2 linked regions of the Neurospora crassa OR74A genome follow. The protein of the gene in region 1 interacts with the protein of each later gene in a pairwise test. Links are inferred from orthologs where the notes say so. Each region holds a gene or a part of one and is shown in the gene's direction. Other genes may lie near its edges.

What was found.
Region 2: the proteins of NCU06122 (region 1) and bd interact in a two-hybrid assay, tested with the Schizosaccharomyces pombe proteins (2 studies listed by BioGRID, with this or other methods). The link is inferred for Neurospora crassa OR74A from reciprocal best matches to the Schizosaccharomyces pombe genes gap1 and ras1.

Annotation. Positions count from the first base shown.
Region 1 is NC_026507.1:1,732,491-1,736,959, reverse strand, and holds the start of NCU06122 (GTPase activating protein Sar1), read left to right. Parts: upstream 1-1,460; 5' UTR 1,461-2,540; coding exon 2,541-2,742; intron 2,743-2,800; coding exon 2,801-2,934; intron 2,935-2,989; coding exon 2,990-3,238; intron 3,239-3,296; coding exon 3,297-4,469.
Region 2 is NC_026504.1:5,116,871-5,121,253, reverse strand, and holds bd (Ras-like protein), read left to right. Parts: upstream 1-1,574; 5' UTR 1,575-1,683; coding exon of another isoform or gene 1,684-1,717; 5' UTR 1,718-1,757; intron 1,758-1,840; 5' UTR 1,841-1,980; coding exon of another isoform or gene 1,981-2,114; 5' UTR 2,115-2,336; coding exon 2,337-2,348; intron 2,349-2,463; coding exon 2,464-2,578; intron 2,579-2,671; coding exon 2,672-2,947; intron 2,948-3,011; coding exon 3,012-3,250; 3' UTR 3,251-4,206; downstream 4,207-4,383. Other genes in the region: NCU08822 (hypothetical protein), read right to left, coding at 1,110-1,574, 1,684-1,717, 1,981-2,114. UniProt on the Schizosaccharomyces pombe protein: Participates in the process of sexual differentiation and the determination of cell shape. Essential for mating and for recognition of the mating pheromone, but not for vegetative growth. Does not regulate the intracellular cAMP level.

The DNA of each region.
Region 1 (4,469 bases):
TCGTGATGGAGAATGATGTCGATCTGGCGGACATCAAAACAAGGAAATGCTAGTGATGGTCTTATTACCTGAGCTGGCTGGCTTGGGTCTGTCCACCGTCTCCGTCTCCTTTCGGAAGCATAATTCAGCACTGCACAGGATGGATGGATCTGGCTGCGAAAAGGGCCGTGGGCGGGCAGTGGGCACTTTCATTGCCCTGGCGGGATGCAGGTCCATTGGAGAAGTTGGTGTGAAGGTCCGGTCTGTGGGTGTTCGGCCGTCCCAATCAACGGCCCCACTCTCTCGCGTTATCCGATGTACCTGACCAATCGACGGCATGTCTCCCCCTTCGAGGCCATCCCCAGGGGCAGCACACCCCCCCAGCTGCGACGTCGGTTTCTCACATGGCCTGAAAGTAGGTTGCCCCTCCCTGCAATGGATGGGGGACCCCATGGAAGCACCAAAGCGATTTCTTCTTTTGTGAGAATGTTGATTTTGAGGTTGCTTTGTCGAATGCGACAGCCTCCTCCTCCTCCTATCTTTGTTGTTGGTCCTGTGGTGGTGGTGGGTGCAGGTGGCCGCCAATTCGCTCGTCGCGTGAAATCACCCAACGGCGCCGTCCATCAATGCCCCGTTGCGCATGTTAACACGCTCCTTTATACATTTCGAGTCGGCGTCCAGTAGGTGGCGATGGAACTGTGCACGGGGGTCCATGCCTGTGAGCCAAGTGTTTCTGGTTCCTGATTTCGAGGCCGGTAAAGGCGAATCTGCAACAGACATCCCCGTCACCTGCCCTGCTTCCCGTCTCCTTCTCATTGTTTCAGGGACATGGAGGTGCAATATCGGAATACATGGTGGATGAACCCCTTGGAGTGTAATGTCGACCTGGAGGTGGTGGGCGATACCTAGCCCAGACGGCGACCCTGTCCCTCCGAACCCTTTTGAAGTCTGAACCCTTCCACTTCTCGCTGTTGGAACCTTTCCTTTTCCGGTCCCCTGCTCCACCATGGACTACAATCCATGCCTCTTGTTATCGACAATTGCACTTGTTCATTCGAGCTGTTTTGACTCTGAGACGGACCGCCGATTCTCTTTGGGTATTGGATCTTTTTAGCGTGCTTGGTTCGGCACTCAGCTCGAGACACAAGACATCATCTCCTTTTGTTTCGTACCAGCTCAACCACGCTCCTTTGAAACTGAAGGAAGTACCTGACTTGAGGTTATCTTGACGGATTTAGCTGCGGTTTTATCTCTACATCCATCCCTCTCTGGCTTAGCCTCCACTGCGTAATGACGCGGTAATTTACCTCCACAGCTAGGTACACTACCTCTACGGACGCAGGCGCCCCCTACCTACAAACCCAAAATACTATCGCCAGGTCCCTGGCCGGCTAGACTCCACAAGACTATACCGTATCTTGTCGTATCGAGCACTGCACCCACCACCAGGGCACGGCAACACTGCAACCACTGCAACTGCGATTTTTCGCTTCAAGCAAAGTTCCCACCCACGCGTTTCTTCCCCCTCTTTTCCCTCTCCACAGTTTCACCTTCCACTCACAACTCAACCTCTCTTGGTCTCCTCAGACCGATCGAGGCGGTCTCTCTTTTTACCTCTAGCCAAACTCGAGTCGAGCGCGGCTTGACCACAATCTCACCATCCGTCGCCTTGCACATTTGTCCCCAAATCTGCCAAATTTCCTACTGCATTCTTGTGCATTCCGTCGTGCTGCATCCCCCAGCGCGCAGTGCACGTCAAAGCAGCCCAGGGCAGCCAGGTCTCGCCCCCCCCCCCCCCCAAAAGAGAGAGAGGCCCAACCGGAAGTTTTGCGCTGGGGCCCTCCCGCAATTCGAAAAAGGAACCCGACCAACGAACGGTCCCTCCAACCGAACCCGTCCATTCCTCGCATTGCACCAAGTGAAATCCATCGGCCTACCACCACGAAACGACGCAGGCCCCTAACATCTGTCTAGCACCTATAGACGCCAACGACACCCAGCGTTTCGAACCGTCCGATCAGTCTCTTTCTTTGTTCACATTACAGCAACAACAATCACCTCGACGCCCGCTTCCGTTGCCTCATTCTGCTCGAGACGCATCTTGCAATTACGACGGACGGACCGCGTCCAGCTACAAGTCGACCGCCTCTCGCTTTTCCCCGCTACCCTGCGACTGTGAGGCCCCAATTGCTCTCGAACTTTGTTGACTTTGATCCGTCACGACATTCGCTTGCCTCCATCCACTGCGTCGGCTACATCGACGTTACTCCCGAAAGGATAATATTGTGGCGCTCGCTGGACGACCATTGCTTTCGCTCCCTGCCGAAACCGTCTTCGTGCGACCTTTGTGGACGTCGACCGTCGCTCCTTTCGCAATCTCTTGGCACCCTAATCTCCATCAGCGTGTCCCAGCGGGACCACGCTCAACGTCGAGCCGACCTCAGTCGCGCGACCCATCAATCCTCAGTACAGAATAGAGCAACACTCTTTGCAATCCTTTTCATTCGGGCCACGCGTCTGACCCTCTCGACACCTCATCGTCACCCGCCACATTTGCCAGAATGTCTGTTATGTTGCAGACACCTTCTCGAGCTTCTACCGGATCCACCACTTCCTTCCACCCTCTCTCCCGACAAAACACCATGTCTTCCTACGAGGGCTCGCGGTCTACCCGCCAGTCCAAGCGGTATTCCATGTCGGCCTTGTACATGTCCATGTCCGCCAATGACTCCGATCTCATAATCGAAGATGAGCTTGCTAGAGGTTAGCAGTCCATGTGCACCTACTCGGTCGAAGACGCATACTAATTCCCTGGCCACAGCGCAAAAGGTGCTGCGGGATCTCAAGACCAAGATCTCCTCGCAATCCAAAAAGAATTTCGTACTTGAGAAAGATGTCCGCTACTTGGACTCGCGTATTGCCCTGCTGATCCAAAATCGCATGGCTTTGGAAGAGGTAGGCCTACCTCAGCAACTTCTTTCTGTAAACGATATACTGACCTGCAATACAGCAAAACGAAGTCGCCAGTCACCTCGAAGACGCAACCGATATACAAGAGGGCGCCTTCCCCAACGATGACAAGACACAAAAATACGGAAACCTGCTCTTCCTGCTACAATCGGAGCCCAGGCACATTGCGCATCTGTGTAGGCTTGTCACCATGGCCGAGATTGATTCACTGCTTCAGACGGTCATGTTCACCATCTACGGAAATCAATACGAGAGTCGCGAAGAGCATCTGCTCTTGACCATGTTTCAGGTTAGCTTGTGATCCTCCTTTGTGTTGCTACCTAGGAAATTCGCTAACCATGCCGTAGTCTGTCCTCACCTACCAATTCGACAATACGCCTGAATACTCTTCGCTTCTTCGCGCCAACACCCCGGTCTCGAGAATGATGACGACATACACGAGGAGAGGTCCAGGCCAGAGCTTTTTGAAATCGGTTTTGGCTGATAGGATCAACAGCCTGATTGAGCTCAAGGATCTGGACCTCGAAATTAACCCGCTCAAGGTCTATGAGCGCATGATTGAAGAGGCCGAAGCGAAAGACCCTGAGAGTCCCGAGGCGATGCTCCCCAAGGGGATTACGCAGGAAGAGGCCGCTGAGAACCCCAAGGTTCAGGAGATCATCAATCCGCGGCTGACCATGTTGACAGAGATTGCCAATGGATTCTTGGAAACCATCATCGATGGGCTCGAAGAAACCCCTTACGGAATCCGGTGGATTTGCAAGCAAATTCGGAGCTTGACAAAGAGGAAATACCCCGATGCCAATGATCAGATCATTTGCACGCTCATTGGCAGTTTCTTCTTCCTGCGCTTCATCAACCCAGCAATCGTCACACCCAAGTCGTATATGCTCATCGACGGCACACCTGCCGACAAGCCGAGAAAGACGCTCACCTACGTCGCAAAAATGCTCCAGAACCTGGCCAATAAGCCCTCATACGCCAAGGAACCGTACATGGCCAAGCTACAGCCTTTTATCCATGCCAACAAGGACAAGGTCAACCGATTTATGCTCGAACTGTGCGAGGTGCAAGATTTCTACGAGACACTTGAGATGGACAACTACGTCGCCCTTTCCAAGAAGGATTTGCAGCTGGACATTACGCTCAACGAAATCTACGCTATGCACGGATTGCTCGAAAAGCACGCTGGTGAGCTGTACAAGGACGAGAACTCCCATCTGGCCATCATCATGTCAGAGTTGGGTACTGCTCCACCTCAGGTGCCGCGAAAGGAGAACAGGGTCATCAATTTGCCGCTATTCAGTAGGTGGGAAACGGCCATTGACGATCTGACCGCCGCCCTGGACATTACCCAAGAAGAGGTCTTCTTTATGGAAGCGAAGTCGATTTTTGTGCAGATTTTGCGAACGATCCCGGCAAACTCGTCAGTAGCTAGGAGGCCACTGCGGCTTGAACGCATCGCCGACGCGGCTGCCACGTCCAAGAACGATGCGGTGATGGTCCGTAAAGGTATCCGG
Region 2 (4,383 bases), on another chromosome or scaffold:
GCGCTTGACCGAGACTATGGCGATAGTGCAGCGGGTGATAGGAGGGATATGTCCCTCCATGGACGAGATGCATCTTGCTTCGACAGCAGAAGACACAGTACCGAGGACCAGCACACAATGATCGGGTACCTTTTCAATGTCACGATTTTGCGATCCTTTGACATGGTGGTGGTGAGGCTCTTGAGCAATGTGCCCAGGAGCTAGGTCGTGCCAGTTCGTGGCAGGGACGTGCCGTACCTAGAAGCTGACTTGCATGCTGTGCCGCCTAACTCGGTATATACCATAGTCGTTGGCTGAGGTGAGAAGACAGAGTGGGGGTTGTGCCGTCTTTGGGGAAGAGCTGTGCATATGTTCTGGTTGGTCATCATGATTCGAGATTGGTGATCTTCCTTCCAACGCAAGTCCAGATCCCTTGGACCGAAAGGCTACTTAGGGCTCAAGGCTGAACCGCCGTGCTGGTTACGGTATGTGTGCTGCTGTTGCCTTATGTCGAAACACGGGGAGTGGATGCCTTGTCCCAAGGAAATAAGAAAAGGAGGAATGGAGATAGCAAGAGAGTGAGACAAAACGGTCCCAGGGACGTGGATGAAGAGGCTCGGGAACCGCAAGCAGAAGCGGTCGGCTACTGGCGAGTCGAGTCCACGTCCAGCGTCGTAGGGGTAATTTGCAATGGCCCATCGAGAACTGGGGCTCGTGGGACGACTAGGACGGAAATGTCTAGACGGAGAGACGGTGTCGGCGCCCAAGCAGGATCTGGATGATTACCTGCCCTGCTATCGTCGAGGTTTGCGCCGGGCATTGGTCGGATGGTGAGATACTGATGTTCGGTGCGTACAGTCATCACACATGAGTGAAGCAGACGGAAATCGCATCTCGACGCCATGATCTATTCCAACCATCAGACAATACAGTTTTGCCCGTGACCGCCTTGCCTCCGTCCTCCCAAATGATCGATAGAGAAAGTGGACATTCAACAAAGGCGAGCGATAAAGGCCCCGGCCCCCGTCCGTCGTGACGGACTTCCACTTCTGTGATATACAGTGTGGATGTTGAACTGCCTTTCCTGAACCCTCCCGGTTGGGCGCTGCGAGAAGAGAACTGAACTTGAACTAAAGCTCCGTCGGCCAATCAATCGGGCCATAGCCCTGCCTGCCCCAGAAACGAGCTCGAACCATGAGCGACCATCTCCTTTTTGGGGCACGTCCACCACCACTTGGGCGCCCGTGCATCGCCGGGTCTTGGCTACCCCTTGAAGCTACAGCACCTATTTCCCTTGCAACCTCACTCAGTTCACCAAGACGGACAGTGTGAGAACAAGACCAGGAAGAGTCCTTTTGCCTGCAGCTCTCCATTTCGCGGCCAGCAAACCCACACTTCTTTGAGCAGGCAATATTCCGTAGCTCACGCCATTTCCCATCTGGCGTTTCCATCTTCTTTCCTTCTTCGCGACTGCTGTCCAACCTCGACCCTTTTCTTATTTTTCCCACGTCACAAACTGGAGAGAAAAGCACCGTTTGTGGTTCTTCATCGCCGCGTTTCCTGTCCCTTGCCAGCCAGCAACCACCATTTTCTTTCTGTCGACAGAATTTTCTTAGCTCTAATCGCCCGATATCCAACGAACCAAGAACCCTCCTTCCATCCATACTGTACAACTTCTACCTACCTACCTACCTACCTACCTACCAGTCGGCCGACTTCCGCTTTCTCCCTACCGCAGCTTCTGCAAATCTACTAGCGCCCCTCCCTCTACCTAGCAGGTATGTACCACTAGCTTGTAGCCTCCCTCCCCTAAGACAGAGACGGACGGGATCCCTGGGCAGCACTGATCATCGGCCAGTAGTGGCTCGTTTCCTCGTCGTTCCTGCTTGCTCGTCTCCACACCGGCTGCTGCACTCTGCTGCACTGCACTCTGCGCACCCGCCGCTCAATTCACCGCAACCACCACCCGAACAACTTCCCACCACTTGCCGTCCGGCTCACCTCAACTTCCACTTCCACTTCCACTTCCACTTCCGCTTCTGCTCGCTCGCTCGCTTCTCCGTCGTCAAGACTGCGCGCTTCCCCTGACAACACGCTTTCTTCCAAGGAACCTCGCTTCCTCCTTCTACAGCCATCGTCGCCATCCCATCCTTCGACCTTTAATTCTACCCGCCTTCGCATCCAGGATCCCCCCTGAGGGCTGTCTTCACCACCCAGTGACGTTTGTCTGCACCGTTGCGCGAGCGACTTAAACCATTTAATCATTTGAGGAGGCCATTCAATCTTGCCCCCTCGTGTCGGCATCTCGACTTTTTCCATCCTTTTACATTTTACATCTTCTTTAATCAATAGCCACAATGGCCAACAAGGTAAGTCGCTCCGCCAGCCAGCATTATTTCGCCCTCCTCGATTGAGGCGTACTCTTGGTTTCAATTGCCTGCGGCAATTCATTTGGCTGACATCGCTCTCTTCCCCTTTACGCAGTTCACAAGAGAATACAAGCTGGTGGTTGTCGGTGGCGGTGGTGTCGGTAAATCGTGCCTTACCATCCAGCTAATCCAGGGTCACTTCCTTGACGAATATGATCCTACAATCGAGGGTGCGTTACAACCTGGACCCTCTCAATCCACGTTCCAATTTTCTTGGTCGTGGTTGTGGCCTAGTGAACCGTGGACTAACTTGAGCTCAATAGATTCGTACCGCAAGCAATGCACCATCGACAATGAGGTCGCCCTTCTCGACATTCTAGATACCGCCGGCCAAGAAGAGTACTCCGCCATGCGCGAGCAGTACATGCGCACTGGTGAAGGCTTCCTGCTCGTTTTCGCCATCAACTCGAGGGAAAGCTTTGAGGAAATCAGAATCTACCAGCAACAGATTCTTAGGGTCAAGGACAGGGACTCGTTCCCCATGATCATCGTCGGAAACAAGTACGATTTGAGGGGAGAGCGCGTTGTTTCGGAACAGGGTAGGTTTTCACTTCTTCATCCTTGCGAGGGCCAGGACAGTACGCTGACAACACTTGACAACAGAGGGACAAGCTCTTGCCGCCGAGTTCGGTACCAAGTACATCGAGACTTCCGCCAAGACACAACACAACGTTGAGAACGCTTTCTACGATCTCGTCCGCGAAATCAGGAAAGAGGACAAGAAGCTCGGCGAGAAGGTCGGCGGCACCTCATTCGCCAACAACAATGGGGCAGTTAAGCAGATGGACGTCGGTGACGAGGACGTCCAAGCAGGCTGCTGCGCCAAGTGCATAATGATGTGAATGATCGAAACCAACAGGGGAAGAGCAAGCGGGGAGTTAAAAGAATTGGGACACGTTTGCAATGAAGAGATGGACGATCACACACACACACACACACACACACACACACACACACACACACACACACGCACACACGCACACAAAATCCGGACTTTATAGACGACATGGATGTGCAAACAACCGAAACACAAAAGCCATATCGGACGGCCACGCCCATACCTTAGCTCACGTACGGTGACCAGTCGGGCTCAGGACCACGGGACCAGCGGAAGGAATATCCGCGTTTGGAGAAATTCAGGCGAGAAGGGGGTTAGGAACCGGGACCGGGCACACACATTCTTTGCATTTTGTGGGCATTTGTTGCAGTGGCACTTATGCGGATGAGCTGAGCGACTTGAAAAAGTTGCTTTCAGTTACCAACCGGCCGCTGGGTTTTTAATATCACACCGCCGCTGCTACAATCCGCTCCTTGGCGTTCGTGAGGCGTGGTCGGTTTCTCTATCAGCGTCTGGAAGAGGTCGCCGAGGGAAGAAGGGAAGGCTGGGTTCGGTCTGGTTGGTTCGGCGAAGGGGTTGGTTGGTTTTGGTTTGGTATAATCCTGGTTCTATCTGGTCTGGTCTGGTCTGTCTGGGGGTTTTGTTGGCACGTTTCTGTCCGTGTTTCACGATCCGCGGATTTTGTGATCAAATACTTCTTTCTGCTACCTTTTTTCACTTTACACATTTTGGGAGTCGTTTATCCGCGAGAGAACTGTACTTGCTATGGATGTTATGTCATGGTGGGGATTCTGATCGATACTGGGTTTGCAAACTCTCGAAAGAAAACCGTTTATTTGTAATTCATTCTTATCAAACCTTCTGCCTTTTTTCGTTGTCTTCGTTAGTGCCTGGTCCGAGTGTGTTTCCTCCCGTTATTCGTATGTCTCAAGTATCTTGAAAGTATTTATGAGGTGCTCCAATGTCGTGATACGCATGGCTGTAATGTCTGGAATCCACGGGCATGGACTGTTGAGAGTCCACAGCTGCTCGTCTAGGTAGTTCTCACTGCAATAAGTGATTCCTGCCGGGACACATCGGCCTTGCATACCTATGACCAAATGGCCATATGACCCAACAAGGCTGAAGCCTTTTCCG